Oreochromis niloticus: one gene and its partners. The protein of the gene in region 1 interacts with the protein of each later gene in a biochemical or structural test. Links are inferred from orthologs where the notes say so. Each region holds a gene or a part of one and is shown in the gene's direction. Other genes may lie near its edges. The genes, in order: mcm6, chek1, dbf4 and cdc7.

What was found.
Region 2: the proteins of mcm6 (region 1) and chek1 form a complex in vitro, tested with the Homo sapiens proteins (2 studies listed by BioGRID, with this or other methods). The link is inferred for Oreochromis niloticus from reciprocal best matches to the Homo sapiens genes MCM6 and CHEK1.
Region 3: of the proteins of mcm6 (region 1) and dbf4, one has a biochemical effect on the other in vitro, tested with the Homo sapiens proteins (2 studies listed by BioGRID). The link is inferred for Oreochromis niloticus from reciprocal best matches to the Homo sapiens genes MCM6 and DBF4.
Region 4: of the proteins of mcm6 (region 1) and cdc7, one has a biochemical effect on the other in vitro, tested with the Homo sapiens proteins (2 studies listed by BioGRID). The link is inferred for Oreochromis niloticus from reciprocal best matches to the Homo sapiens genes MCM6 and CDC7.

What each region holds. Positions count from the first base shown.
Region 1 is NC_031982.2:7,553,150-7,561,402, forward strand, and holds the start of mcm6 (DNA replication licensing factor MCM6), read left to right. Parts: upstream 1-5,240; 5' UTR 5,241-5,395; coding exon 5,396-5,493; intron 5,494-5,666; coding exon 5,667-5,813; intron 5,814-5,965; coding exon 5,966-6,076; intron 6,077-6,317; coding exon 6,318-6,405; intron 6,406-6,494; coding exon 6,495-6,656; intron 6,657-6,743; coding exon 6,744-6,909; intron 6,910-7,008; coding exon 7,009-7,157; intron 7,158-7,239; coding exon 7,240-7,390; intron 7,391-7,496; coding exon 7,497-7,638; intron 7,639-7,786; coding exon 7,787-7,928; intron 7,929-8,038; coding exon 8,039-8,146; intron 8,147-8,253. UniProt on the Homo sapiens protein: Acts as a component of the MCM2-7 complex (MCM complex) which is the replicative helicase essential for 'once per cell cycle' DNA replication initiation and elongation in eukaryotic cells.
Region 2 is NC_031975.2:13,694,172-13,701,543, forward strand, and holds the start of chek1 (serine/threonine-protein kinase Chk1), read left to right. Parts: upstream 1-4,365; 5' UTR 4,366-4,527; intron 4,528-4,757; 5' UTR 4,758-4,758; coding exon 4,759-4,823; intron 4,824-5,771; coding exon 5,772-5,886; intron 5,887-6,663; coding exon 6,664-6,772; intron 6,773-6,990; coding exon 6,991-7,055; intron 7,056-7,159; coding exon 7,160-7,229; intron 7,230-7,350; coding exon 7,351-7,372. Other genes in the region: complement factor B, read right to left, coding at 1-44, 129-335, 1,021-1,078. UniProt on the Homo sapiens protein: Serine/threonine-protein kinase which is required for checkpoint-mediated cell cycle arrest and activation of DNA repair in response to the presence of DNA damage or unreplicated DNA.
Region 3 is NC_031976.2:20,456,619-20,464,014, forward strand, and holds the start of dbf4 (protein DBF4 homolog A), read left to right. Parts: upstream 1-4,008; 5' UTR 4,009-4,201; exon of another isoform or gene 4,202-4,259; intron 4,260-4,446; 5' UTR 4,447-4,515; coding exon 4,516-4,576; intron 4,577-5,001; coding exon 5,002-5,162; intron 5,163-5,984; coding exon 5,985-6,185; intron 6,186-6,300; coding exon 6,301-6,351; intron 6,352-6,427; coding exon 6,428-6,497; intron 6,498-6,636; coding exon 6,637-6,713; intron 6,714-6,818; coding exon 6,819-6,864; intron 6,865-6,977; coding exon 6,978-7,023; intron 7,024-7,113; coding exon 7,114-7,239; intron 7,240-7,396. Other genes in the region: mitochondrial glutathione transporter SLC25A40, read right to left, coding at 232-313, 445-728, 1,068-1,192, 1,496-1,563, 2,068-2,174, 2,865-2,924, 3,160-3,259. UniProt on the Homo sapiens protein: Regulatory subunit for CDC7 which activates its kinase activity thereby playing a central role in DNA replication and cell proliferation. Required for progression of S phase.
Region 4 is NC_031982.2:10,742,057-10,749,408, forward strand, and holds the start of cdc7 (cell division cycle 7-related protein kinase), read left to right. Parts: upstream 1-3,993; 5' UTR 3,994-4,220; intron 4,221-4,455; coding exon 4,456-4,543; intron 4,544-6,006; coding exon 6,007-6,093; intron 6,094-6,198; coding exon 6,199-6,334; intron 6,335-7,096; coding exon 7,097-7,190; intron 7,191-7,352. Other genes in the region: probable ATP-dependent DNA helicase HFM1, read left to right, coding at 34-140, 723-1,028, 1,207-1,282, 1,778-1,889, 2,171-2,316, 2,473-2,521. UniProt on the Homo sapiens protein: Kinase involved in initiation of DNA replication. Phosphorylates critical substrates that regulate the G1/S phase transition and initiation of DNA replication, such as MCM proteins and CLASPIN.

The sequences.
Region 1 (8,253 bases):
CTTCCTCTGCCGGTCTCTCAAAGTCATTCCAAAACATGCCCAGTATAAATGCATGTTATGCAACCACAAATATATATATAAAAAAGCTACATTTCAATGAGTTTTTCTTTCAGAAGACCATCAGGTTGTCCCCACTGTCTAAAGAAATTAAAATGGGAAAACTTCACGGGTCAAGATGACTGTCTCTGGGGACTCCTCAGGTGTGCCTGTAAGGTGTTGGGTTCATTTGGTCTACTTTTTTCTACTTTTTTCATTCTGCTGTAACTGATGTGAATACAAGGTCACAATAGCTGTTCTTTCCAGTCTCGACGAGGAGCCACTGTGATAAAACAAAGAAGCAAGGACTGTAATGCTCTCTACAACATGGACATGATCCTTCGGTGGTTTCTCACCGACCACTTTGCTCCAAGGAGTTTCTGTTCCACCTCATTTTACTGTTGTAACTTTATTAACGGCACCTTTAGTTACAGACTTGTACTCCAACCTTCCACCAATGCCTGCTGTCCCATAGCTGCACTGTTTTAACACAACTACAACAATACGGTGGAACAAATATACACAGACACATAGTGCAAAATTAACCATTCAGCTGAAGTTGTATCTTTCTGGTCCCAGCACAAAACTATAAATAAGAAAAACAATTTTGGAAAAATTGTATTATTTTACTGTCTGTAGTGACTGTAGTACTACTTTCCTTTTAGAAATACTGTACATTAATGTTAATGCCACTGTTTTGCACATACCTACCTCTGTATATTTTATATTTTATATATCTTATTTTATTGTTTACTCTATTTCATTTGTAAAACATGTATATACACACTCACACACACACACACACACACACACACACGTAGAAAAACATATTTAGTACACACATTCAGTAATGTATATACCTTTATATATGGTACATATATTTATTACTTTTTAGATTAACCATTTTTATATTTTGCTTGTTGCACGTTATTGTATTTTGCACAACTCTGTTGCTTGTGAAGCTTGCACACAAGAATTTCACTCGCATGTACTGTACCAGTGTACCTGCACATGTGATGTGACAATAAAGGTGATTTGATTTGATTTGATTTGATTTGAAATGAAGCAATAATTTTTTTTCTTCCCACTTCCTCTATGGACCACCACTGTGCAATACCAATTCTATGTGCAATAACCCAACTGTATATACACAACACTATTTATTACATATTAGTTTTTTTTTTTAAAACTGGCTTGTATATTTGTACATTTTATATATATATATCTTTTTCCCTCTGTTAATACTGTCCATATGTATATAGCGCTGCAGAACTGTACCCCCCCCCCCCAGCATGTTTTGCACTGAGTAGATGCTCTGTATCTCATTGTACAACTGTATAGTGACAATAAAGGCATTCTATTCTATTCTATTCTATACCTAGTAGGCGCTGACACTGGCTGAGCTGACATGTAAAATAAAAATATGCAGAAACATGAGTGTTCACTGCCCCCCAGTGGTCATGTGGTACATTTATAAGTTGAATCCAATTACTTGTGTCCTTGTGCACAGTTTTGACTACTGGGGGTTCCAGAGTGTGGGGGCCCCTCCCTGGGGCCAGTAGGCACTCCCTTCCTTCCCTCCCCATCCTCAGCTGCCTCCCTCTTCCTGCTCCACCAAAGCCACCCACACACGCAGGGCTTGGGGTGCAGGTGTGTCACCAGGGTGCAGGGGAGGCACTCCCCCTCTGTCCCCTTCTGGCCGCCTGTGCCTCAATTTTATTCCGCAACCTAGACATCCACATTACTCATACTCTCATAACACATACCTATAGGGCCTTGGGGGTGGTCACGTTATACAGCGTCCAGAGGACGGTCTGTGTATTCAAACCCACCTCTGGCGCTGGTGCCCTACCCTCAATTTTAAATGCATATAGACACTGAGGGTTTTCGGGAGGAGCCGTGCTGCTCTCTGGCAGGAAGCACCTTGCCCTCCTGTGTTTTAAATGCACTTTAGAACAGCACGCAGCAACACTACATATGAGTGGGCAGAGGGAAGTTTGGGGCCTTCACTCACCCCCGTTCTGTTAACCGTCGGTGCTGGGGGGCTGGGAGGAGGTGCTGGCCGTCGGATTGGGGTCTGGGATGAGGGGCCTCCCTGCTACTGCAGATAAGGAGGCGGTCTGCTTTCCTCCACCCCAGAGAGAAGGGTTACATCTCCTGGGTCTAGGTACGGTTTGCCCCTCTGGGGGCAGGGGTACCTGGACCTGGGATATAGAGTATGTTTGGGGAGTGTGAATGTGTGTATAGTGTCTATTTGTGTCTGTTTCTACGTCGGGTGAGTGCCGAGTATTTGTTTGTGTATATGGGGGTGGGAATGCATGTTTGTGTCTCCGTCCGCCTGTTAGTCTGTGTCTATATGTCAGGTTGGGTCTTACACTCCACCTCTCTGGAAACATCTCAGGCTCTCCGAGGTATGGAGGCCTATCTCCCCTCACCACACTCTGCCGGTGGCTGATGCCCTCAGATGTTGGTGTGTTGGTGGTTCTTGGTGTCTGGGGCTGGGCACTCATGTATGTACCGACTCACTCCTGGTGGCCGATTGGTGGGGGTTGGTGCCTGTGGCCCGGCTGGGCCCCTTCCGGGGGGTGGGGTGCCCTCAGGCCTCTGGGCCTGAGGCCCGGTCCTCTCTGGCACAGCTGGCTGCCGGCAGAGCCCGCGGGCACGAGACTGCAACCCCTCTGGCCTCTGCTCCGTGGCTGCTGGGTGATCTCTCGTTTGGGGCTCTTCTCAGCTCTTCCCAGGAGGGTGGCATTAATTAATATTTAGTATCTACTGTTAGCTAGTTTATTGTGATGGTGTTGTATTTATTATGTTGCTCTTTTTTGTTTGTTTTCTCGTCTGTTTTTCTTATCTCCATACAGGTGATCCAGGTGTTTTGTTTGTTTTTCTTTTTTTTCCTTCCCCCCTTTCTCACCATCTCTTCGCCCCTCTATTTTTCTTTCTCTCCCTCTCTTTCTTTCATTCTTTCTCCCTGTCCTATCCCCCAGTCATGTCTGTCCCGTCTGTAACAACCGAAAATAAAATAAAATAAAAACATAATTATAATAAAGGTCAATCAAATGGACCAATATGGCAAGGCCATGAAGATGCACTTGGTAAAGTAAATCCGCTTGGCATCTTTCTTGGCCTTCAGACAACAATTCTGATGGCTAAAGATCCAAACGGGACAGGCAAAAAAAAAAAATAAATACATAAATAAAGCTTTGAGGCACAAACACAGAAAAACATTCGCTACTGCATCAAATAAGTTGATTCTCTGGGATTTTTTCAGTCTTTTATTCCCATCTAACAAATCCTCACTTCTAACTGGTGACCTCTGGAGCAGCCTTTTTCTTTGGATGGAAACCACTAGTGGAAGAGACAAATGACATGTAGGCTTGTATAAAGCAGTTAAAACAGCTTCACCACAGACATCTGCAGCAGTAAAATGCTTTCGGTTTTTAAATCAAAGTACATTTACTCAAACCCAAATTCCCTTTGGGGTTTAGCATCCATTGTAAAACTGCAAAATTGAAAATAAGGGAGCGGCTGAAAGTAGCTTCTACTCAAAGGAAAAGGCTTACAGTGAGTTTTACTAGGAAAGGAGGAAAAAACATGTTGGCTTGGCAGAGAGATTGAGCTGGGAAGGATTTGCAGCAGGTTACGGTGGTTAAAGATAGGATGGAAATGTATTAGCGAGTGAAGAAAATGTCTTGATAAGGTGGAAGGAGTACTTTGAGGGGCTGATGAGGAAATGAGAGGAAAGTGCAGAGGATTAGTAAGGAAGAAGTGAAAGTAGCTATGAAGAAGGGTGAGTGGACATACCTGTGGAGGTATGGGGATGACTAGGAGAGAGGACAGTGGGTGCATTAACAAGATTGTTTAACACAATCCTGGAGAGCGAGAGGATGCCTGGGGAATGGAGAAGAAGAATACTAGCACTAGTTTTCAAGAACAGTGGTGATATGCAGAGTTGTAGTAACTACAGAGGGATAAAGCTGATGAGCCATACTAAGAGGATATGGGTAAGAGTTGCTGAAGCTAGGTTAAGAAGAGAAATGTGATAGTGAGCAGGACTATGGTTTCATAGCACTACAGATGTGATGTTTTCTTGGAGAGTGTTCATGGAGAAGTACAGAGAAGGTCAAAAGGAGTTGCACTGTGACTATGTGGGTCTAGAGAAACCATATGATAGGGTGGTGAGAGAGATACCGTGGCAGAGAAATATGTGAGGGTGGAGCAAGACATCAGTGAAAAAAGAACCAACTTAATTGAATTATTTCAATTGGTAACACCTAATTTAATTAAGTTCTTTGAAATGAAGTTAATACATTAGATAAATCAGTTGTGTTACTCTATGTATTAACTTCATTTCAAAGAACTTAATTAAATTAGGTGTTACCAATTGAAATAATTCAATTAAGTTGGTTCACCTATTTTCTTTTTTCAGTGATGTATCAGGACAGCAAGACAGGGGTGAGAGTGACAGATGGGTTCAAGGTGGGGGTGAGACTACATCAGGGATTGGCTCTGATCCCCCTCTTATTTTGATGAGGTCAGGCAGGAGTTTCCATGGAATATCAAGTTTGCAGGTTACACCGTGACAGTTTGAGCTGGAGTTGGCAGTGTTTAAGAGGTTAGGATTTTCACTAGGCATGACCAGAATGGACACGATCAGGAATGAGTATATCAGAGAGGCAGGGTGGGTTGATCGGTTTGGAGACAAAGTAAGAGAGGCAAGACTGGGATATTTTACACATGTGCAGAGGAGGGAGAGCAGAAATACTGGGCAAAGGATGCTAAATATGGAGGAGGCAAGCAGGAGGAAAACAGGAAGATCACAGAGAAGATTCATAGATGGAGCTGGATGATCCAATGAGGCAACTCCTAGGAAGAAGAAGATGATGATGATAATGATGACGACATACTAATATTAAATATTATGGCCGGAAATGGCTCAAGTGCTAAGTTTACTGCGACGCTGTCACTCAGCTCATTCTTCATTTGTAGCCTGTCTGTATAACGCACGTGCTCGACAAAGACACGCGCACACTGAGATAACAGCTCGGTCTAGCCCCGTCTACAGCTGCTATTGGTTAGCACAGGAAGCGTATCGCGGGAAAAAAGGCAGCAGGACCCCGCGTCAATTTACGTTTCCGCTTCTAATTGGCTACGAGCTCAGAGACATTTCCATAACGTCGCAGATTGGTCGAAAGCGGCGCGCCAAACATCACGTGGTCTCGCTTTTCGCGCGAAACCGGGCTCGCTGTTGTCCGGAGCTGAGCGTGCTGTGTGTCAGAGAGGAGAGGAGCAGCTCGTGTCGGTTTTGCAAACTTCTTTTTGGATTCTCTTTGTTGTCGCAGTTTGACGGACTTGCAGCATGGATGTCGCCACAGCCACCGCGGAGACTGCCGGGGCGATGGTGAAGGACGAGCTGGCCGAGAAGTGCCAGAAGTTATTCCAGGCTTTCTTAGAGGAGTAAGTGAGGCAGCAGCGACCGTGTCGTATTGTTGTCGGCCGAAACGTGCTTGGCTTGACATCGCTCTTTTAATCAGCAATTATAAGGATCGAGTGCTGCTTTGATCGGCTGCTATTGGTGTCTTTTCGCTGCTTTTTCTTAACTCTCTCTCGCTTCCTGCGTCACCCTGCAGATTTCAGAGCGGGGATGGGGAGGTGAAGTATGTCCGGGAGGCCGAGGAGCTGATCAGGCCTGAGAGGAACACCCTACTGGTGAGCTTCACCGACTTGGAGGGCTTCAACCAGGAACTGGCTACCACCATCCAGGAGGAGTACTACAGGTGAGCAGGCCACATGACCACCAAGTCATGGGTGCTTCCCTCATATCTAATCCAAATACTGAGGTGGGAGAGTGCTCTGCTGCATTTCAAACCATCAGTTCAGTGCTGTGGAGATAAGCTGTGGGATAACCTGAAGGATTCTCTGTTTCCAGAGTGTATCCCTACCTATGCAGAGCAGTGCGCAACTTTGCTCGGGATCACGGGAACGTTCCTCTCAACAAAGAGTTCTACGTCGCTATCGAGGATCTGCCCACCAGACACAAGTAAGACACTGTTAACCAAAACCACCATGTACATCTCCATTTATCTGGTCTGAGCTGCCGTTTATTCAGCTAGATTGCTTTAGTGTAAAGATATTTGTAGAAATGTCTGCTTGGCTTGAATAACTTGGAACTAAATGGTGTTTAAGTTGTGGTGCATAAAGCAGAAATGCTACATCTCACACTGGTAGATGTTAATGGGAATGAAATGCCAAATCTGATCCTTTTCCTGTGTTAAATGTAGGATCCGTGAGTTGTCCTCCATGCGTATTGGCAGCCTGGTGAGAATCAGCGGTCAGGTGGTGAGAACGCACCCAGTCCATCCTGAGCTGGTGAGATGTTTATATCAGTGAAGAAGACACAAAGTTCAGTTTTTCGCTTGTCTTTTGCCATTAAACCCATTATGCGTCCTTTGGTGCAGGTGAGCGGTACCTTCCTGTGCATGGACTGCCAGGCAGTGATCAAAGATGTCTCTCAGCAGTTCAAATACTCTCCTCCGACCATCTGCAGGAACCCCGTGTGCAACAACCGCTCCCGCTTCCACCTCGACACGCACAAATCCAAGTTCATCGACTTTCAGAAGGTAACTGTGATAAAGGACGTGTGCCTGTCTGTCTGCATGGATGAATGAGTCTGATTCTGACCCTGTGTACCCTGTTTGTGTATCCAGGTGCGTATCCAGGAGACACAGGCGGAGCTGCCCCGTGGTTCGATCCCACGCTCTCTTGAGATCATCCTGAGGGCAGAGGCTGTGGAGACGGCTCAGGCTGGAGACCGCTGTGACTTCACTGGGACCCTGATTGTCGTGCCGGATGTCTCACAGCTCAGCACACCTGGTACTTTTTAAAATTTTAACCATTTATAATCAAAACTATGTCTTGTGGTGTGTTTTTGTTTTGTTTTGGTTCTCATGACTGTATGGATGTTACTTCCAGGTGTGCGAGCAGAGACCAGTACCCGTGTAGCAGGAGGTCCTCAGGGCTTTGAGTCTGAGGGTCTGAGAGGACTGAAAGCTCTGGGAGTCAGAGAGCTGTCATACAGGCTGGCCTTCCTGGCCTGCAACGTGGCGCCCACCAACCCACGGGTAAGAAGCGCTCGCCCCTGTGCCTAAAAATGCAAACGGCTACAAATCTTGCTGTGTGATTACAAATACGTCTTTATCACAGTTTGGCGGTAAAGAGCTGCGGGAGGAGGAGCAGACAGCTGAAAGCATTAAGAGCCAGATGACGGAGAAGGAGTGGGAGAAGGTTTTTGAGATGAGCCAGGACAAGAACCTGTACCACAACCTGTGCACCAGCCTCTTCCCAACCATCCACGGTCAGTGATAGAACCCCCGTCTAGCCTTTTTCTCCAATGGAGGATGCTCTCGTAGTTCTTTATCAAAGCTGTGACTTGTGAGTTAAACGTTAACGTGATGGTGCAGGTAACGATGAGGTGAAGCGCGGCATCCTGCTGATGCTTTTTGGAGGCGTTCCCAAGACGACCATGGAAGGGACCTCGCTCAGAGGAGACATCAACGTGTGCGTTGTGGGAGATCCAAGTACTGCCAAGAGCCAGTTCCTCAAGTATGTCACACAGTTTCCACCTTCACTGATTAGCTTTGCATAAAGTTTTTCTTTGTTCCATCTTCTGGCACAAATACTTTTCAGTACTCTCTTTGCTGTAGACATTTGTTGTACAGCATTGTTGATTTGAATGTGTGTGCCTGTGTAGGCACGTGGAGGAGTTCAGTCCCAGAGCGGTGTACACCAGCGGCAAGGCCAGCAGCGCCGCAGGTCTGACGGCGGCCGTGGTCCGAGACGAGGAGTCGCACGAGTTTGTCATCGAGGCTGGAGCTCTGATGCTCGCCGACAACGTGAGTGCTGCGACTTCTGAAGAACAGTGACGGATGTATTATTATGGAAAAAAAAAAAGTTTCTTTATGTAATTAGTGCAAGTAAAACTTGTTAACTGGTTTGATTTCAGGGTGTTTGCTGTATTGATGAGTTTGATAAGATGGACCTCAAAGACCAGGTGGCCATCCATGAAGCCATGGAGCAGCAGACCATCAGCATCACCAAAGCCGGAGTCAAGGTGACGCTTTCAAAGCTTTATGCTTTGAACACACTTTAAACACTTTTACGCAGCACAAGTGGAAGTTAAACTGCTATCAAATTCGATCGCTCGTCTCTGCAGTAGAA
Region 2 (7,372 bases), on another chromosome or scaffold:
GACATTTCCGTACTCCAGCACATTGGGGTCTGGGCATTCAATCACTGTGAAACAAAACGAAAGGACCCTGAGTTACTATGTTGTTATCAGGCCGTGTGAGGCAAGGGAGAAACATCTTTGCCACTCACGCCTGCATCTCTGAGCTGGAAATCTTTTGGGTCGTGGTCTCCAGGAGTTATTAGCCTGACATAAGCGGGTTATTGCTGGGTATGGATAGTAGCCCTCAGGACAGTGGTATACCAACATGCTGCCTCTCTCCAGGTTGTTGCTCAGTGTGTAATTCCCTCCTTGCATTTGCAAATTACTCTCAGGGCAAGCACATCGAACACCAGCTCCTGAAAAAAAATGTCCACAGTTCTCAGAGGCCACAATTTAAGTTTATCATACACTTACATACGTACCATTACACAATTACTAAAGTAGTGTAAAATTCATGATTTGCCTTTTTTTGAAGTACACAGTATGCAATGGATTCTTTTACTAAAATCACCAGGTTAGTGATTAAGGGTTTATACATTGTTTTACTTACCTTTGTGAAGCATTATTTGTATTACAAGAATTTAAATTGTTATGTTTTAAATGCAAAAAGTCTGATATTTTATATTTAAGACAACATTATTTCTTTGAGCCTGCACTAATTTCCATAAATAGATGATGAACAAAATTTAGTACAGACTTACATTTTCTGAAAAATTCACTATAATGTTCACATTTGATGATGTTGCTAAGTCTCTAAAAACCTGATGGATAGAAGGACGTTTGTCAAATATTCAGAATATATTCAGAATGTACAATATAAAGCGCCTTGAGGCGACTTTTGTTGTGATTTGGCGCTATATAAATAAATATAAATAAAATTGAATTGAATTGAATTGAAGTTATATATTAGTTAATAAATATTTATTTGAACATTGATCAGTTTTTACACCTATAAGGTGCATAAACCTAAGTAAACAACAAACGCATTACTAGAAATTCAAAATTGTATATAACTTTTTATCTAAAATAAAAGTATCTTACCCATCCAAAATGCACATAAAAGCGCTGCAAGCCAACTCCAGTGGATAGAAAATCCCATCTTGAAGCTTAAACTGGGGGACAGTTTAAAAATGAGAGTATATTGCAGAAGTGGTTGATTTATTTCAGAGTAGAGAGTGATGTTTAAACTGGGAGTGGACAAAGACCATCCTGGTACTTATTAACTTTATGACCTGTAAAAGAGGATCAATACATGTTTATCACAGAAAACACTCAAACAATTTCCACATTTACATAAATCCTTCTCAACTGATAACTTATTTAGAATTACACAAAGATCTCTTATCTAATTTATCACTTACAATGTGAGCTGGGACGCTATTTACAGTAGTTATTATTTGGAAACTGCTTTATATTTATTACGTGCTGATGCTAACAACATGAAAAAATTGAGGTCAAAAACAGGGAGCCTTTGGGTTTAATTCTCAATTAAATACATAAATAAATAAAACCACTAGTAGAACATTTACCAAACTGATCAGGTTCATTAGTAAAAAGATTTGCTGTACAAAGAGTCTATGCATCTTTCAGCAATAAGGATGAAGATCACTTCATCACTTTGCGAAAGACTACGTGGAAAACTGACAAATTCAGAGTACACAAGGCACGAGGCCAAGAACTGATCCCGAATGGCCCCAATCTCTGGATCTCCAGCTGGTCCTCTATTAAAGACACACTCGACACTCTACTAGGAATATTTTGCAGTCTTTTTTCTTGATACCTTTTTTTCAGGGAAGACTTTACTCATGTTATGAAAAAGATGCCAAACTATGTGATGTTGTGTTATAACACCTGATTGGTGCAGTGTGAGGTGACAAACAGAAAGCAGCTGAGCAGCTGAGCAGCTGTATTAAGCAATTATCTTTCACTTAAAACAAAAGGTGAAGCAAAACGGTAACAAAAGTGCTCATGACTCAGATTTTTTGATTTTTTGATGTACTGTTTTCATTTATTCAATTGTTTATATATGAAATAGTTAAATGCATCAACTACAAATGTGGGTTGCATGGTTTGTGTTGTGTGTCCTGACCTTAACTAAGTTTTTTTTGGATCCAGGATTTCCCGTTATGTGTACACACGCTGTCACATGTTCCACGAAAAACAAAGTCATTGTGAAACCAAGACAAAGTACAAACATTCGCTTCATCATTTCCCAAAAGCACCAGGCTAGCTTGTTGACACATTGATTCAAGTATTGATTAAACACTCCATCGTGCCTCAAGCTCTCTCTGGCTTTGAGTTTGTTTTCTGAAAAACAGTTAAGAGATTATGTTTTGAAAATGTGATTTTTTGTCTTCTTTTTAATTTACATGCCACACAGACTAACTGGGTAATTTTACAGTGTGAATACTGGACACATCAGTTTCTCCAGGGAATAAACCCTGTGGCACTATTATTTTCCCTTTAGTGACCTGAATTGGAAAAGCCTCAGTTCTGTGAGGGCCTTCTGAAATGACAGTATCTGCTGGAGCTTCCAGCTGAAGCTTCACACTTTCAGACACCTAAAAGTGGTTTAAATAAAAGCTTTGTAACATCCATTAACTAGAAAATGTTTTCTTACATGGGAAGAAAGGCCACTTTTTGAACATTCATTTGCATGAAACTCACAGCTGCATTGCAATTCCCTTATTTTTGACCCACGTGTATTGTAGCAGTTTTTGTTGCTAAAATTGGGTCTTGTGGATTCCACATGCAGCTAGCATGTTATTGTAAATGTCATAATCTGTATTTCTTATGTAGTTTTTTACACTGCACAATGAGTCACATTAGATTATTAACATATAATTACATTAACTGAGTGTATAAATGTTGGTAAATAGAAGGGAATAGATATTAGGACATCATTTTTAATGTCAGGGTAGTGGTAGAGCTTGGTGTCGTTCTTTCTGTGTTGGTGCTGACCTGAGTTAGGGCGACTCTAAATGAGGATGGATGGATGGGTGGGTTTTTGTTTGTTTCTTGTGTTATTGTTTATTTTCTATCTTTTATTACACTTCTTAAAATAGCAAAGTGGCAATTATTACTGTGAAACACCTGCATCAGTAATTTCAAAGAAAGATTTAAAATGTTTTTCAGCTCATTACAAACTCAATTCAAAAAGAATTGTGAAGCTGTCCAAAGCGCTGAAGACAGAATGCAATGACTGGCATATCTCATAAACCCATATCTTAATTACAATTGAAAATAAAAAAACATGCCACATGTTTAACTTTATAGGCTCCAACCCCGTGAGACCCTAATAAGGATAAACGGAAGAGAATGGATGGATGTTTAACCCTTTCACGCCTAGTAAATAAATAATAAATAAATAAAATTTTATTTATATAGCACCTTTCCTGACAGAATCACAAAGTGCTGCACATAAGATAACAAATAATAAAAGGGTAAAACAGACAGTATAAAACAGGCAGAAGTAAAGTCCAAAAAAGGTGAGTTTTGAGTTGTTGTTTTTTTAAAAACAACTACCGAGTCCATAGGTCTCAATGTATGAGGGCAAGAGTTCCACAGTCTAGGGGCCACAGTGGCAAAAGCTCTGTCACCCTTAGTTCTCATCTTAGTCTGTTTTATAGCAAGTAAACCCTGATCAGATGACCCCAGGGACCTGCTAGGGACATATGGCTGTAGCAGATCGGAGATGTAGGGTGGTGCCAGTCCATGCAAGGCTCTAAATGTCAAGACCAGGATCTTAAAATGTACTCTAAATTCAACAGGAAGCCAGTGTAGCTGAAATAGCAATAGTGTCACATGTGAATACTTGGAGGATTTTGTCAACAACCAAGCTGCAGCATTTTGCACAACCTGCAGACGATCCAGAGAACCTTTGCTTAGACACATAAACAAAGAGTTACAATAGTCCAAGCGTTAGGAAATAAATGCATGTATAGCTATCTCCAGTTCAGGGCGAGATAAAATAGGGCTGTGTATCGTATTTAATACATGCAGTTGTTTGTGAGTTTTTGAGACTTCTACATCATCAGTGTGACTTTTTTCCCATTTTAAAGCATAAATAAATTTTGCAATACTTTTTTAAGCAATTTTTTTTTTTTTTTTAAAGGCCAGATGTAGTGAATATGATGCAAATTACAACTATTATAAGGGGAAAAATATGTAAATAACTTTATAAACAAATTTGTCAGGTGTTTCAATAAACTCTCCATTTAAAAAAATAGAATTTTGTGGCAATTATTCAGGCTTTAAACAATGTTGAATAATGAATTGTAAATCTGGCATGTTTAATCCGAATAAGACTTGGATAATAATGAACAGTAGGTGGCAGCTGACCGGCTAAACTCAAAGAAGAAGAAGAAGGGAGGCGTAGAAGAAGACAAGGCGGAAATGACGTCCAAGCGGAAGTTATCGCCAATGAGACAACAACGCGCCAAATTTGTGAAAAATCTTCAGAAGTCAGTGCAGCAGGATGAAGACGTGCGTCTGAGCTTTAAGGATAGCTACATGTGGCAGTCGCTGCTGTGTGAAAAGGCTGAGCAGGTAGGTTATTTTCTCATATTTTCGTATTTTATTTTTCTTAGCGGTTTTCTTTTGAGCATCATGACATTCGACAGCACTCTGTCAAAGTGCTGTCAAAGTTAAGTTTTGTAAGCTGGTAAATGCTTAACAGACACTTGTTAGAAGAAATAGGACCCTTGTTATGAAAATAATGTATACATAAGTAAATATTAGAAAGCGAAAGTGATGAATGCGTGTGTTTCTGTTTCTAGCATGGCGGTGCCTTTTGTGCAGGACTGGGACGTTGTTCAGACTCTGGGAGAAGGAGCCTACGGAGAGTATGAAAGCTTCCTTATCATTGTTTATCATTAGCTTATCGCCTTTAATAGCTGTCCTTTTCCAGCCATTGCACAAGGATTTTTTTCCCCCTTGTTTCATGGGATCATGACAGGCATGTATATGCACTAGAAATGTTCATCTGAAAATCCAAAAACATCACTCACAGGAGACACCTGACTCCATCACAGTCACAGTTAGCCTTGAAAAAAAAAGAAGATGAACCAGGTATCAAAATGTAGGTAAAAATGAGACCTTACATATGCTAAAACATGTTTAATGTTATGAGACTTTAAAGTTTAACCATTTTTACCACAACAATTCCATGGTTTTTGCCATGGAATTGTTAGAAAACAAATCAAACACTCAGGGTAGCAATGACTGCTTCTATCATTCTTAAATTATGGCGTTATGCCACCATTAAATGAGGTGTCCAGAGATACCAATGCTCAAAGTTGGTTATAGAAGAAAACTACCGCACAAAAAGAACCTTTTAACTTTAGATTGACTCTTTAAGTGGGTTTAAAAAGATCTTAAATATCTTTGTTTGGTTTTTTTGTTTTTCTTGTTTTCTAGAGGTCAAAGTCAAGTTTATTTATATAGCACATTTCCAACAGTGCATGCTGCACAAAGTACTTAACAATCTAAAATGCAACTAAAATAAATAAAATGCACAACAATGATGCAGTAAAATATAGAAGGGGAAAAAAAAATATAAAATAAAAACAACGAAAACAGACGGAATTTGACACCTGACGTTCTGATTTTATTGAATAGTTTAACAAAGTTTAAAGTACTTGAAAATTATCTCTAGAAACACTGTAGGAAGATTTTAGCTCTTTGTGCATCCTGATAACTTCCACTCAGACTTCCTCTCACTTCTCTTCACCTCCGTGCTCTTTTCTCTTTATGATCTAACCGGTTTGTCCTCTTTGTGTTCTTGGTCTCAGAGTGAGGCTGTTGGTGAACAGACAGACTGAAGAGGCGGTAGCAGTGAAGGTCATCGATACCTCGCAGGCAAAAGAGTGTGCTGAAAATGTCAAGAAGGAGGTCTGCATCCACAAGGTACATCCATCACCTTCACCTGCACAGTTAGTATTATTGAAAGCAGCGGCTCACCAGTGGTGTGTTGTGAAACAAGTCAAGCTGTTCTTAAATCCATATGTTAATACAGTAAACAGCTGCATGAAATAAATTGTTAATTAACTGAATCACAGCTTTGTATGCTCTCATTTCCCTTTTCCTTGCATCAGTAAAAAAAAAACACAGCCTGTTCATGCCAGTCCCAGACTGTGAGAATTAGATAAAAACTGTTACTGTTGTGAAAACCAACTCTAGCCTCAGCTGATCTGGGGACGTTGGTAGCCCTCAGCTCGAGGGTGTCATTTGTTGGGAAAAGCTACTGCTATTCCAGGCAAGCTGAAAGCAAACATGCAGATAAGAATACAGATGTACAGATGTGTCTGCTTGTTTCGGCTCACCTAAAATGATGTGACATGATGACAAAAGATCCAAAAACCAGCTGAACAGACACCGAAGAGGCAAACTGAAAGCAAACATGTATGAAGTCGTACTTCATACTGGCTAAAATATAAAGAACTGGCATTTGTTATTAATGTTGGTTAGATTCGTAAAGATAAACTGGCTGAGACTGACCAGTTTGTTGCTCTAGTTTACAGATACAAACTGATTGTAAGCAATTTAACAGACACTGAAGTTGTTTTTATTTTTTTTATTGTTTTAGATTTGTTGAATTAATTAAAAACGTTAAGCTCTTAGCTAAGTAGAGTGATAGCTGAGAGCACTGTTTTGAGGATCTTTGTGTGTGCACTTAACTCATAGATGCTCAAACACACCAACATTGTACGCTTCTTTGGCCATCGGAAGGAAGGACCCACTGTGTACCTCTTCCTGGAGTACTGCACCGGGGGAGAGCTGTTTGACCGAATCGGTGAGCTGCAGACACACATTTGACGAGGAAACTGTCATACAAGAAAAACCTTTTGTTTGCTGATTTATTCTTCCAGCTGTAACTTTCCTGACTCAGATATGATTAGCATGAATACATGAATTCAGCTTAGCTGAAATGCGTCTGGAGTCTTCAGTAATCATTCTTTGCAAATATTTGATTTCGGTCTTACTCTCTTTCTTCTTTTACGCTCTCTTTAGAGCCCGATGTAGGGATGGCTGAAAAGGATGCTCATAGATTTTTCCAGCAGCTAATAGCGGCTGTGGTGAGTGAAGAACATCTTTGTGTTGATGTGACTTCCTGCGTATTTTCCTGCTGTTATTCTCTTTTTAAGTTTTTTTTTTTTTTTTTTTTTTTAACCTTTTCTAGGAGTACCTCCATGATTTTGGCATCACACATAGGGACATAAAGCCAGAGAACATTTTGCTGGATGACAAAGGTGAGGAAATGCAATCTTTATCAAAGGATTCTCTTTTTAGGATTCTCTTTTATTCCTTATAACCACCGCCCTCTGGGGTTGACTTTTTTTTTTCTTTTCTTTTCTTTTTTTTCACCTTCAGATAACCTGAAGCTGACAGATTT
Region 3 (7,396 bases), on another chromosome or scaffold:
GACTGTCACAAAGTGTTGTGGCCTCTTAACGGAATGAGGAAGCCTTTTTGATGAGAAGTAAAATGTTTTAAAGCTCATTGTTGCTTTTATTTAACTGCAGACTTGGATTATTTACCATGACAACACAAATATGAACATAAAGCATCAACATAACCTCCCCAGGCAGCTTCAGATGTACATTTACAATCTTCAGAAGCTTTAATAAAAAAAAAAAAAATTAAGCATAATTACAGTTCTTTGCTTGCAGCTCTCCAACTTCCACCTGTCTTCTTGTTTTGACGACATCAAAAGGCAAAGTTACAATAGATGCAATCTGAAAGAAATGACAAAAATGAAATAAGAAATGATACGCTGTAGTTTACTTCTGTTTGTTCGCTATCAGATATGTTTATCTGCAGGCTGGAAGTTGAATTCTGTGCAGTTTTAGATGAAAAATTTACTTACAGATCCTGAAACAGCTCCGGATACAAAGGTGATGGTCAGCGTGGGTTCTGTGATGTTAGACAAGCCACACAGCCAACTCTTGCCCATCTCGTAGTTGTACCAGTACATGGCCGAGAAGGGAACGTCTCGGAGAAGCGTGGGCCCCAAACCCCTCCACAGGGACAGCCAGCCCTCTTTGGCCACTGCTGAACGGATGCACTGGGTCAGCTCCCTGTACGACTGCTTCTGGGACTGCAGTTTAGTGCGGATCAACTCCAGAGGACTGATCACCGTCACCGAACCCACTTTCACACAGAGGAGGAAGACAAAGCAGGGCATGAAGTGTTATGGTAGTGAAAGTAACATACTGCTGTGGTGCTTTTAATGACTGAGCCTCTTTTTTCTACTTTAATAATCACTTACAGGCCTGTGAGTTAGACTAAAAATAACATTCGCATTTTCTAGATGAAATCTAGCTTGTGGGATAAAATCAGGAAGTCGAGGCCACGGTGCAGAAGGTAAGGGTGGTTGGCCTTGAAACCCCAAACATTATTAAAATGCTGATGTCTGTTATTAGGCATTATATGGGCATTATTGTCAATATATGGCATATTTCAGTGGCAGTAGGACAGCAGTCAGCTCACCTCTAGCAGTAGCTCCTGCAAGGAGAGGAGCCACCTGAGCATAGTCTCCCATCCTGACCCTCAGTGCTGCACAGAGCTGGTCGTAACATGTGAAGTAGATCACTGTGGCTGGGACTGCCATCACACTAGAGAAGGCACATAACAGAAAGTACATAAATCATGCCTTCCTTATAAAATTTTCTAAGCACGTAAAAGACAGCCACCAAAATGCATCTAAATTTAAGAAAGTTCTGTTTAATGACGCATAACATAATTAAATATTTGGTTACGATCATTGAAGAAATTCATAGTGAGCCACCTCAGAGTAAATACCACATCAAAGGAAAACACTGTTAATGACAGCATCCGCTGTAATCACTACTGACCCACCACAGCTCAGTTTTAAAAGGAGGGCAGGCGCCCAATCAGGAAATAGACTTCACACTCACAGTGTTGGAGGCAGACCGCTCCATAATGACCTGATTCCCTCATGCCGCACTATGTTGACAAATGCATCCTGCAGAGATTCAGAGTTAGGAGTCAGTGAAGGATGATGTGCTCTGTGGCACTCAGAGGTTTTGTACTACAACAGCTCAACTTTATACAAGGAAAAGTTCTATCAGTCACTAAAGCTAAGCTTAATGTGTCAGACTGCTAACTTTAAAACATTATACGGAACAAGAAGCTCACTCTCTGGACAGTATTTACTTTTAAGGGAACATAATTGGATTTTGTATATATTCATTTTGTTTTCTGTTTCCTTTTTAAATGTACTTTAAATGTTGACACTAGACACCACACTTGTCACAGATTCTACGTTATAAGGCTTTTGTCAATTTTCGACCATTAAATCATTAAGTTGACCTTGAAGACCAAGGTCAACTTAACGAAGCAAGGCTTAATGAAGCAAGGCTATCGGACAACTAACAGACCTAACAGACAGAACGACATACAAACGATACCAAAAACATGGCGGGAGGTAATTATAGTGGTAAACTGTAATGTGGATGTAAAATTTTACCAGCGTGCCGCTGAAGTGACCCGGAGCTTTGTACCAGGCCTTGGAATTCCCATTTTCACAAATACATATGTGGTCCATAAGTCCATTGCAGTAGACAAAGCATTTGCCTGAAAAATATTAACATTAACATTTAATACAGTGACGTCAAACGCAGGCCGCCTGGCTGTTCAGGTCAGCAAAATGCGAACATTTCAGTAAAGTTGTTACTGGCTAAACCAATTATTGAGTAAAATTCACTGCTGTTTCTAGTGTGGTAATGTAAAGCCAGCAGTACAACAAGGGCATGAAAATGTATGGAGATATAAAAGCAGTTTTGGAGCTTTGGATGTTTGATTGCAGGTATTTAAACTCATCCACCTTCACTGTTACATCATCTCCCTTTCATTCTCACACATGTATTCTGGCTTTCATGGCTCCATCTCTCCAGGCTCTCTTCTAGCTGCTCCCTAATCCCACTCCTGATTCATATAGGTTATAAAGTTCATAAAGTGACATTTTATATTGCCCCTTAACTAAAATTAGTTTGACTCCCCTGGTTTAGTATATAATGGAGCCACAATAAACATAAAGACAGATCAAATGCTAAAACACAGGGACAAAAGAACCTTTTTTTAAGGGCCTCATATGGTTTCTACCTCTGTAATACTTCCAAAAAGTCTGCTATGGAAATAGGTTGATCTTTATTATTACTTTAATAATGCTTCTTTTTGCATGCACAGTATCATGGTCTGATATATGTAACAGAATTTAAAATAAAAAAAAAAAAAGTCAGTCAACATAGTGTAAATTCATTTCACCTTTGGGAAAGGGATTTTTCTGTGCTTGTAGCCTGATCTTCACAACATCCAGAGGTGTGACTGTAAAAAAAGCAACTCAACATGAGTGCCTGTGTTCAGGATGTTTGTCACAATTTTCATTTAATCAGAGAACAAACAAAGCAGCAGTTCAGGAAACTTCTCCAAACCTCCGACTGATCAAAATAATTTTATAACACAATAACAAGTTGTACCTCATAAACCACCAGCTGAGTGTTAGTTAATAAACAAAGGCATGCTTTTTGTAATGTAATAAGCTGAAGAGTAGGTGCCTCACCAAACAGCGACGTAAGGATGGCGCCGGAGCAGGACGCCACCATCTGTTGGAGGGGAGTAATGGCGCCGCTGGCAGGAGGAGCAGGACTTTCATTATTCATCCTGTCTTCATTAAAAAACAAACAAACAGACAAACATTTGATTGCTTTTAATACGCCTCCTATTTAATATTCACACAATAAATCATGACAAGGCTACGATCCCTAAAAAATTACATGACAGGTCTCTGGCTAACTTTAGCAAGCTAACTAGCACAGCTAACTCCTTACCTACTAAAGTCAGTCAGAATCAGCGACGTCTTTCGTGAACACGCACATCCCTCTCGGGGTTTATAGCTATCCTCCTACTACGCCAGTTCCTGCTGTCCTAAAGTCTTTGAAAGCATAAACACGTGTGAAATTGCAGCAGGGTAGTTCCTGACGCAAACAGCGCGTGATGACATAATTTAAATTTCAGCTGAGCACATACCTTGACTTTAATAATTGTATTTATTTTTGTAACTTCAGATAAAATGACACTAAACGTGCATGTATACTACATTAAAGTTATTGTAAATGACAAAACTGATATAATTGTCTTCGTATAATTTACTTTAGTTTGATAATAGTGGGGAAACAACACATCCAAGCATCAAGAATATGTTTACGTATTTTTTGCGTTGCCAGGTTTGGAGAGTATTCCGTTTGATATCAACACCTCTGTTTTTGAAGCTATCGATAATAGGACGGCTGTAACGTTCATAAAAGACAAAGCTTCAGATAAATAATATTACATTTGTTCAATTTAAAAACTAACTCAATAACATAGCGCATTTTAACGTGGAAATGGTTACGAAGTTGGAAAGCGTCAAACATGGCAACATATACCGTCTCCGACACCGGATTTAAAGCGGGAAAGGGAGGTGAAGGAAGCAAACGGCACTGTTAAAGTTTATTAGTTCTGGATGAGGAGCTGTAAAACCGTATAACCGTGGCTATTCTGTGGAAAATAAATCTGCCGACAGACGTTTAGGGACGTTTTTCGACATTTACTTGCATAAAAATGTGAGCAAAGAGGCTAATCGGCGAAGCTGTGTGTCCGCTGGGGAGGGAGGCTGTGAACGTACGTTAAGTTTACATTTAAGACCATTAAAATTGATTAACATGGGGACAGCGAGCATTGCCTCAGATAATGTTAATGTAATGTTAATGTTACATTTTGTTTACGTATTACTATGTAATAGATGATTATTTCCTTGCATTTTGCGTCTAATTTTTTTAAATGTGCGTTTTCTTTTGTTTACACACAGAGGACTGACGAGGCCTTTGTGGAGTATGTTAACTCAAGACGGGAGGATAAGAAAAGCAGCCTTTTCTCGATGAAAGAGAATAAAATGAAGACAAAACGCAGTCAGAGGCACCCGGGACCCAGCTGGCAAGGTACCTGTAGCGTTTATTTCCGTGTTACACCAGCCGCGACTTTTTCCGTGTTTTGCATTTAAAATTTAAAACGTAGTTTTAACCAAACTAGCGAACAGCTAACACCGTAACGCACGAATGTAACGCTAATGGATCTTTTGTGAAGTTTTTTGATTGTTAATTTACTTAAAAATAATCTCTATTGAACCAGATTGACTTGAATGTTAAAACAGATGATATAGGCTCGTTTATTTACTTAGCTTCTAATTCAAGTAAGGATAAACTTGATATAAAACGTGCTTTAAGCGTCAAGTTTGTCATTGGAGATCTTAATTCAATCTCTCTTTTTGTTTATGTTTAATCCGTGTCTGGAAAACTTGCTGTAAAACTCACTTGTAAAATGGTTTAACATTTAAGTCTTCTTCTTGTGCTATACTGTTATTCAGGAAAAGGTGGACATACTAGTGACAAGGTGACGCTGAGTCAGGCGAAACGTACATCAGTTCCCACACAAGTCAAGCCTTTTGCTGGAAAAGTGTTTTACCTGGACCTGCCATCAAACAGAGCCGCAGAAACCTTAGAGAGTGACATCAAACAGCTTGGAGGGGTGAGACATTATTTGGTTACATTCATTGGCTGAAACTTGCATTTTGTCACACTGCTTTTGTGCAAGCTTAACATATGAACTATGAAGCTGCGTACACCTAATCGTTCATGCAAATATCTAATCAGACAGGCTGGTCTGAGTATTTCAGAAACTGCTGATCTAACGGGATTTTCTCACACAAGGAGAAAATATCCAGTGAGTTAGGTTGTTGTTGGTGGTGTAAGGATATGGGGTATTTTCTTGGCACACGTTGGGACCCGAGTCTTCTTGCTGACCATGTCCATCTCTTTATGTCCAAATTGTACCCATCTTCTGATTTCAGCAGGGTAACATGCCTAGTCACAAAGCTCAAATCATCTACATTTGATTTCTTGAACATGACAGTGAGTTCACTGTACTCAAATGGGCTCCACAGTCACCAAAATCTCAATCCAATAAACCACCTTTTTGACATGGTGGAAAAGGTTTTTCATCACGGATGTGAAGCTGATAAATCTGCAGCAACTGTGTGATGCCTTCATGTCAATATTGACCAAACTCTCTGAATGTTTGCAGGAGTTTGTTGAATTAATGTAATGAAAAAATAAAGCCTGAGGTCCAACCAAATACTCCAGTACTTACTGGAGAAATAAGCCAAAACTGAATGCATTTCACTCAGAAGTAGTATGACTAGAAAATGTCAGTCAGGTTACAAACATGACCAGACATTCAGTAATATATTTTTAAAGGCTCTGGGACATGGTTACTCTGTGAATTGAATAGACAAATAATTATTCTTGAGTTTTTCTCAAAACATTTTATCTTGTTTATCTTTTCGCTCAGACTGTGGAGAAGTTCTTCAGTAAGGACATCAAGTATCTGGTATCTAACAAGCGGGAGGCTAGATATGTGAACTGCCTCAGACAGGACTCTCCTGTTCCTAGCCCAGACTCTGGACCGAGTTCGCCGTATCCTTGCTCAAACCCACACCGGCCTGGCAGCCATGGCGACATCAAGAGCAGATCTCAAGGACAAACCGACACGGTGAGTTCACCATGATGTGTCTGTTTTACCGGGATTGATCTCACTTCTTCTCTGAACCTGTAGATCATTTTTCTAGTTATTGATATTTTTTGCATTATCTGTTGTTGTTTTGCAGTTTGTTACAAGCCGAGGGAAGTCTCTGGTGGAGAGAGTAGTGAAAGAGCAGGTTTGTTTTGTCAACATGAATGATATTTACTGAGGGCTTTTAATTGCTCTGCTAATACACACTTGTTTGTTTTTAGGAAAGGATTCAAGTAAACAAGATCCTGTCAAATGCCCTGGAGTGGGGTGTGAAAATCCTATATGTAGATGGTATGTTTTGTGTGTGTGTGTGTGTGTGTGTGTGTGTGGTATCTGTTTTAGTTGAAGTAATTTTTCTTCTTTGTATGAAATTAAGTTCATTCTGCGTTGCCATCTGTGATTTTTCTAAATTTATTTGTGCCAATTCCAGATTTAAGAGCATATGTTCATAAGAAAAAAAAGATCATCAAAAGCTCAGTTCCTGCAGCCACTGCGGCCAAATTATGTGTAAGTTGAGAATTTCCAGTGTATAGTAGGAAAAATAGTCCAACTTTATATTAAGTTATTTGTATAACATTGGAAGTGTTCACTTTTTTCTGTCGTTTCTAACAGGACAAAGCTGATTCTGCAGCAAAGCAAGGCCTAGAGAAATGCAAAGGTAGACCCCCCCCCCCAACAAATTACTTAGCTTTGCTGGTATATTTTAGTCGGCCTTTTCAGGCTGGTATTCTTCTTGCTTTGCTAATAAACGATCTATGTTTTGTATTCCAGGTGGGCGGATTGGTAAACCTTTCATCAAGGTTGAGGATTCAAGTAGGTAAGAAGTCAATCAGAAAAACCCAGCATCCACCTGCTGTCATGAAATTGTTCCTGTGATTTTTAAAATGCTTTCCTTCTCTTTTGTCAGGCACTACCGTCCAATCTACCTCACAATGTCAGACATGCCTGAGTTCAACCTGAAAACCACTGCTCCCTGTAGTCCGTTCTGTCCTGAGGAGAAGGATCCTCCTGCAAACAAACAGCGGGGACAAAGGTATGGTGCTGTGTTGCTTCTAACTTTTATTTGTAAACTGTGCATTTTGCCCCCTTGTTTTTTAAAAAAAAAAAAATTCTCTCGCCACTTGAGCCCCACCAATTTTATACCGAATGCTGCTTGATCATTTTAAATATGCTATGGAGTGCCGACACAG
Region 4 (7,352 bases), about 3.2 Mb from region 1:
TTACTTTCAAGCTCTGTTTTATTCCATCTGAAGGAATAAAGAAAATCTCTGTAAAGCTTCAGTGAGACCTCAGTCTGGGACTGACTTGGCAAGTGAAGCTCAAATACCTGATGTAGAAAGCCTGAATGACCTCGACGGAGGTAAACAAGTGACATGACTAAGCTCCACATATTCCTTAACATTTGAATGTCACTTCTATCATATCTTCTTTGTGTCACGTGTTATATCATATATCATAATATGTTATATCATCAGCTGTTTTCTTTCTTTTTATTTTTTGAGATTATGATGACTATTATATGGAAGACATGTACACAACGATGGGAGGGCGTTTTGGGAAGGCCCTCACCATCAAAGTATTGTTAAATAACTTCAAACTCAGTTCCAGACTAACTATCCTGTTTGTTCGCATGTTTTTGTTCTGCTCAGCTTTAAGTTCTGCTCAGAGGAGGTCCAAGTACAGCCACTTGTTATATGGACTGTGGTAACAAAAGAAAACATATTAATTAAGTCAGACATACTCAGGACCAGGTTTATTCAGCATACACAAGATTAAGTGGTAGACTTAACCACGGTCAGCTTTGAAATCAACAGCTGCGAGATGGAAGAATATATCTAAAAAGATATTAGATAGATGTTATTGTTCAGGTTGAATTTTTAAATGCACACAGTTGAGGAAGATTTGATGATGTGACCATGCTTTTATTTTCCTTTGTGTTGAGGTTCCTCGGTGTGGATGACCACAGATATGAGTGTTGGGAGTCAGGACTCTCAACAGGATCTAAACCAGGTCAATACAACCAGCACGGTTTACTCAAAGAGCTCCACAGCAGTGCCAGAACAGGCTGCTCTCTGCAAAAATACTTCATCCCTCCAGATACCGACTGTCAACTTTGACCTTGGAAACGAGTGGGATGACTGGGGCGATTTTGATGATGATAATCTGATGCATGCAAGCGAGCCAGCACTGACTTCATACACAACTGCACAACCTCAAATTCAGCAGTGTGGTGAAAACCGCACACCAGGTAGGGTGAACAAGTCGGAAATCAACTTCTCATACATTTCAGTCATCAGGACTTCATTGTGACATGAACACAGTGATGTTTTAATATCACTGGATACCCTTAAGCACACATGCCCATGTGGGATTATACATCAGATGTTCTTATGGTTTAATTAACATATACATATGTCTTTATGTAGGCTATGTTACAGCACCAGTATTACTCAGCCACTCACACATCAAACCCTCTATAACCACTGTGACTACACCACTGAGGTAAGACCACAGCCTTATGCACCATTAACCACCAAGTGAGGTATAACCAGGAAGCCAGGAATCAGAAACTGTGTGACATACTGTATGTGCAGTGAGACAGTATCATTAACCATTAGAAAATTTGTCATATTTGCAGACTCCAGTTGTTTATCCTGGAGTTTCTAAAAGTGAAAGCTTTCAGGCTCCCCTTCTGTGGAAACAGCTCCCAGTTTGGAATCAGGAGACAGCCGCCCTCTCTTTTCTATTCTTTTAGTTTTAGTCGATTAAAAATCGTAATAGTGTAGATTAAATCTAAAGTAAAACACAAGTGTCAGAGTTTGTAGTTTTTACACGATTTACAATGACAATTTGATATCACATGCAAAATGTGTCTATTCTTCTCTTTTGTTGCATTTTCATGAGAAACAGGGAACGTGGAAGGTGGTTGGACTGTTTAATAACAATACATGTGTAATAAATTTAAATTGAATAGAATATTTTTCATGATTATTTCAGGTTGACTTTAACAAATGTCAGTCCTGAAATCAAAAAAGCGGGACCCTCAACAGTCAGCCGGACATTCACTCCACAGAAGAGAATCACACCCAAGTGGAATCCGAAAGTCCATGTATGTGCACACGCAGGAATGTGTACATGTGTATTTGTGCAGAGTTAGTGGCTATATGTAAAAATACTGAGAACGCCATTTTCTGTCTGTTGACATCTTTTAGTTATCTATTATCTATTTAGCTGTCTATTTATTCAGTAAGTACAGTAAAGCTCATACTTGTGCTATTTTTCTTCTGACTTCAGTTAATGCTTCTAACCTCACCTTTCTCAAATGTAACAGCCAGCAGTCAAGCTAATGTGCAGACATGAATCATGGCTCTATTTCTTTTTGTTGTGCAGAGGCCAAATATTTTCAGTGAGGAAACCACTGTAAAAACATCATTAGAACTTCTAAAACAGCCTGAGGAGGCAAAAGTGACTAGGAGATTGGATTTCTTTTCAGCATTGAGTGCCCCACCCAACGCCAGCTCATCTCTCAATAGAAGGTAAAAAAAAAAGTGGCCTTGATTCACACCTATTGCATGTTTTCTCACCAAATAATAAAAGTGATCCTATATGCAGGGGATATGGGATAAGCATACTTCCTTACAGGATTAATAAATACCCTTTTTCCTTTTTTTTTTGCATATATTCAACACCAGCAGCAAAGAGGAAGATGCTTTTGTTGGCATTTTTGATGGAATATTTTAGAAGTACTGGTGGACACACTCTGATATAAACATGTCACTAATGTAAGGTGCTTTCTGTTTCCTGTGAGATTTACACCTGGAGTTGTAGAGTGTTGCAAATTCATTCTTATTTTGTATTGTAAAAGAAACAAAGTTCAAAAGGGTTTTTTGATGTGATTGTATTTATGTGCGCTGTTTACTTAATAAAGCCTGCGTTCACTGGAGGATTCAGTGGAGTCTTTGGGTAATTTCTCAATGTCTGAACTCACTTGTAGACTAATTAGAAGTAGCTTTGTGACAACTGTCTAGTATCATAGGTGTGTATTCAAAGACTGCCATTCAAGTTGTTGCGTACTCCAGTGAAAGTATTAATTTCAACTTAATGCAAAGGAATAAGTATACATGTCTCTACATCTAAATCTTGTTGCATGGTGATGCAAAAATAGTATTTTACTGTTATTTTTAGATTTTTTTTGTAGATTCAACTAGCTGTTGTGAAAGTAATGAGCCTACTAGTGACAAAGTACCTAAAGATACAATTTAAAACTGGTTCTTCACTAAGTTGACTGTTTATCCCTTGTGTTAGATGATGACTTTTTTATGCTTAGTTATAGGTCAGTTTTAGGTGGCTTAAGAAACAAAAGAATTAATTTCTCTGAACATGGTCATTGAAAAGACTGAAAATGATTTTTAAAAAGCAGCCAGTATCCAAAGAAAAACTTCCAATGAGCTTTTGAAAACCCGGAGAGAAAAAGTATAAGAAATTCTGTCTCCTTGAAAACAAAGTAAAACCAAGAAATGAGGACTCAAGACTTTTGCACAGTACTGTATATCCAAGGTTATTAAAAATATAACCACAGCTAAATGATAAACCTATAGGAGGTGTTAAAAACACGTTTGCTAACCGAAATGAAAATAGCCAGACATGAACAAGAAAAACAAGAACAGAAATTATGCAGTAGATAATATTAAAGCCAATTTATCGGTGGGACAATATTATTGTAAAATATGAACTATTTCACAATCTGTTGATTTATGCATTTATAACTGCTGATAAATGGGAAAAAGTAAAGTGATGGGAGAAACACCACTCAACCATGTTAAGAGTTTTGATGAGGCACAATTTGTCCACCAGAGGGCGCTCTGAAACTTCATCTGTTTTTTGTGTTTGAAAGGGAAAAAAGAATATTGGACTATTTCAATTGAATATTATATTTTTTAATAAAACATCCGTGTTGAATGAGCTCCTAAAATATACATGAAATGTTATTAGTTTTAGTCTTTTTAAATTTGCTCAAAATTGTCAACAGCCATTCTTATGAGGCAACGACTCATAACGGAGTAACAAGGGAAGTAATCAGAAAACACTAAACTGTTATTTGGCAGTGTAACGTGTAATTCACAGGCAGCAGTTTTTGTTTTATCTAAGTCATGCAGCGATACGTCACAGGTATAATTAAATTCTCGTCCGTGTGCTTGGGATGTCACGTGATTTCTGCTGCTGTAACGCGAGATTTCTTTGACGTCACTTTTAGCGCGGAGTTTGTTGTTGGCGGAGACGCTTCAATCCGAAAGTCTGTACAAAGTTGTTCAGGCACCGCCAGAGCGGAATATAAACCTATAATTGATGTTTTACCGGTATAGATGTTGGTCAGGGCTGTGTGGTGACTTTATGAGGCATTAATTTGAGACACTTTTGGACTTTACAACCAACTGAAGCGGTAAGTTTCTTTGTGTTTTTGCTCTACGAGCTGCAGTTAGCGAGCTAACAATATGCTAGTGGTGTCTAGGAAGTCAGACCGCGCTCTTCAAAAAACTATAACTGCAGACATTTACAGTAACGAGGACTTGTACAGCTACAGAATATCTTAAATAAAGTGTTTACCAAACTTAAATCACGAGTGTTTGCTCCGTCTGTAAGTGTCTCTATCGATGTTCCTGTTTTCTGGTTTTCAGATGGAGTTTTCTCCTGCCTGCGCTGAGCCCAGCACAGACGGATGCCTTATGAAAGCTGACAGAGGTCACAAGAAACGGAAAATCTCCCGTGAGTTGGACAACTGTGATATGACAGAAATATTTCAGTAGAAATGCATCCTTATATTGGAACTACATTATTATATTATGGCTGATATACACTTAAAATCTTTGTGCTCAGCTATAGTTTGTCACTGTAGCTTCAGACCCAGCAACACACTCAGACAGAAACTGGTTCACCCGAAAGGCAAAACTCCTAAACATAAACTGAACAATGTGGTGTATGCTGTACAGTGCAGCAAGGAATGCCCAGACCTCTACATCGGAGAGACCAAACAGCCACTTCACAAGCGCATGGCACAACATAGAAGAGCCACCTCCACGGGACAAGACTCAGCAGTTCATCTGCATCTAAAGGACAAAGGTCACTCTTTCGAGGATGCCAACGTTCACATTTTGGACAGAGAGGACAGATGGTTTGAAAGAGGAGTGAAAGAAGCCATTTACGTCCACTGTGAGCGACCATCTTTGAACAGAGGCGGTGGTTTACGACACCAACTGTCTGCCATCTATAATCCAGTTTTGAGATCCCTTCCCAGACCCCTTAACGCCCACTCACATCCTGGGCCATCTGACCTCAGGAAATCACATGATAGGGTGGGGCCAGGTTTAACAATGAGCTCACCCGAAACCCTGGCTGATTGGGACCCACACCCGCTTTCACACCTTGGCTCATGTGATTAGGTAGAGGATCATCAGGGGGTCCTTTGTCCCTCTTTGGGGGGAAACTCCCACTGGGTTTAAATCTGGGACTCTCCACCATTTGACCCTTAGAACTGAAGAAGCTTCTCGGATGAGAGGTGAAACGTCTTCAAGCAACTTAAAGAAGTCCAGACGCTTTCCTTTCCAAGCTCCTTAGACTACAATGACCTGGATGACTGAGAACCTTCACAGACACACTGTAGCTTAGAGTTTGCACACAGTATTAGTAACCTCACTCTGGGCAGAATTAATTTTTAAGACAATCATATCATATTTATTTTATATTTAGTTTGCTTTCTTTGTTCTTTTAAAACTTACTTTAGGGTTGTCGGATTTTTTTAAAACAATACCATAAGTTGAGGTGTAGCAGTGTGGCCGCCAGTATTTTTCTTTAACTCCAAATTATGTCACAGTTATTGATCCCCGTCGGGAAAGTCTCTCTGCATTTAACACATTCACTCAGTGAAGCAATGGGCCCGGGGAGCAGTGTAGGGGTACCTCAGGGTAGCCGTTCAGTGGATTTGAACCCTCAACCTTCCGATTATGGGGCCACCACTCTACCTGAGCTATCCCTGCCCTGCCCTCAATGCAAACGCCCAACATGGGCCTCGAACCCACCACCCTGAGATTAAGCCGGGCTTATACAGCTATATCGATACTCTGTTTATCTCTCTCCCCTCCTGTTCCTATTGCTTTCTATGTGTTGACTATATACACCACACTAGTAATGGTGTTCTGACAGTGGATTTTTTTTTTCTTGTTTGTTTCCAGCGGAAGTGGAGATGGACATTGAGTTTCTTTACAAAGCTGTTCCTCAGCTAGCCAAGGTTTTCCGCATTATAGACAAAATTGGAGAAGGTACGTTGTCAGTTTTGGAGTTTTTATACAGCTGGGAGAAGGATTGTTAGCTGTTCACTAACCTCATAAGGAGAAGTGCTGATGACATTTGTGTGTCTTCATTAGGTACGTTCAGCTCAGTATACTTGGGTGAGGTGCAGATGCGAGATGGGAGGAGAGAGATGTTTGCACTGAAGCATCTCATCCCAACAAGCCATCCCACACGCATTGCTGCTGAGCTTCAGTGTCTCACTGTTGCAGGGTGAGTCCAATGCAGGAACTTATAATTTTATTGATGTTACACAGATGTTTTTTCTATCAACATCTATTCCTTTATTTAGTTTGTGTTACTGTAACCCTGTACACTGTCACTAATCCTTCTTAAAGAACTGAAGCTGGTTAAATTATAGAGTTCCTTTGAGTTGCACCTTGATATTTGGCATTTCTTACATGCCTAATGCATTGAGTTGCTGAAATGATATTGGCTGATTAGATATTTTCAATAATGAGCAGGTAAATAGGTGTGCCTAATAAAGTGGCTGGTGAGTGTATGTTTTTATTATTTGACAGATAATCCAGGGATTCAATTTGATTATTATTTAATTTTCCTATAATTCCACGTGGTGTTGGGAGCACACCTCAATATTCACTTTTCTTTTAGTATTACTGTTTGTGAAAGAGCTGAGTATCCCAAAAATGTAAAATCAGAAAAGACCAAATTTTATTCGATTCCTTGCTTTTAAGTTTATTTTTATGCTGTGGTAAATCGGTGCGTGGGTTTCTCATTTGTGTGACATCTTATGATTCAGTTTAACCTACGCAGTTTGGTACACTGCTGGCTGGGGTTGACAGGACGTGCAGCATAAAGCACACCAATTTATATAAATGAGTGTGCATTTGTGGTTGAGTGCTTCTGTAATGATTCTTGGAAGTGAACGTCCGAGATTGACATTTCTTGCAGACATAACACATTATAATGAAATGACGCCTGTCTTCTGAGCTGTGCCCTTAATCCACTTTGCAGAGGCAGAGAGAATGTAATGGGAGTGACATACTGCTTCAGGAAGGAGGATCACGTGGTGATTGTAATGCCCTACATGGAGCATCAAGCCATTGTGGTATGTACTTTGTCATATGTTACCGCAGTGTTTATACTGAAGTGATTTATTTATTTTTAATGGACACAATCTGAGCTTCTAAATCAGTCTCTTCTCCTGATTATGTTGACGTTGCTTAAAAATGTCTTTTAAAACCTCTGATTTAAACTAAACATATTCACC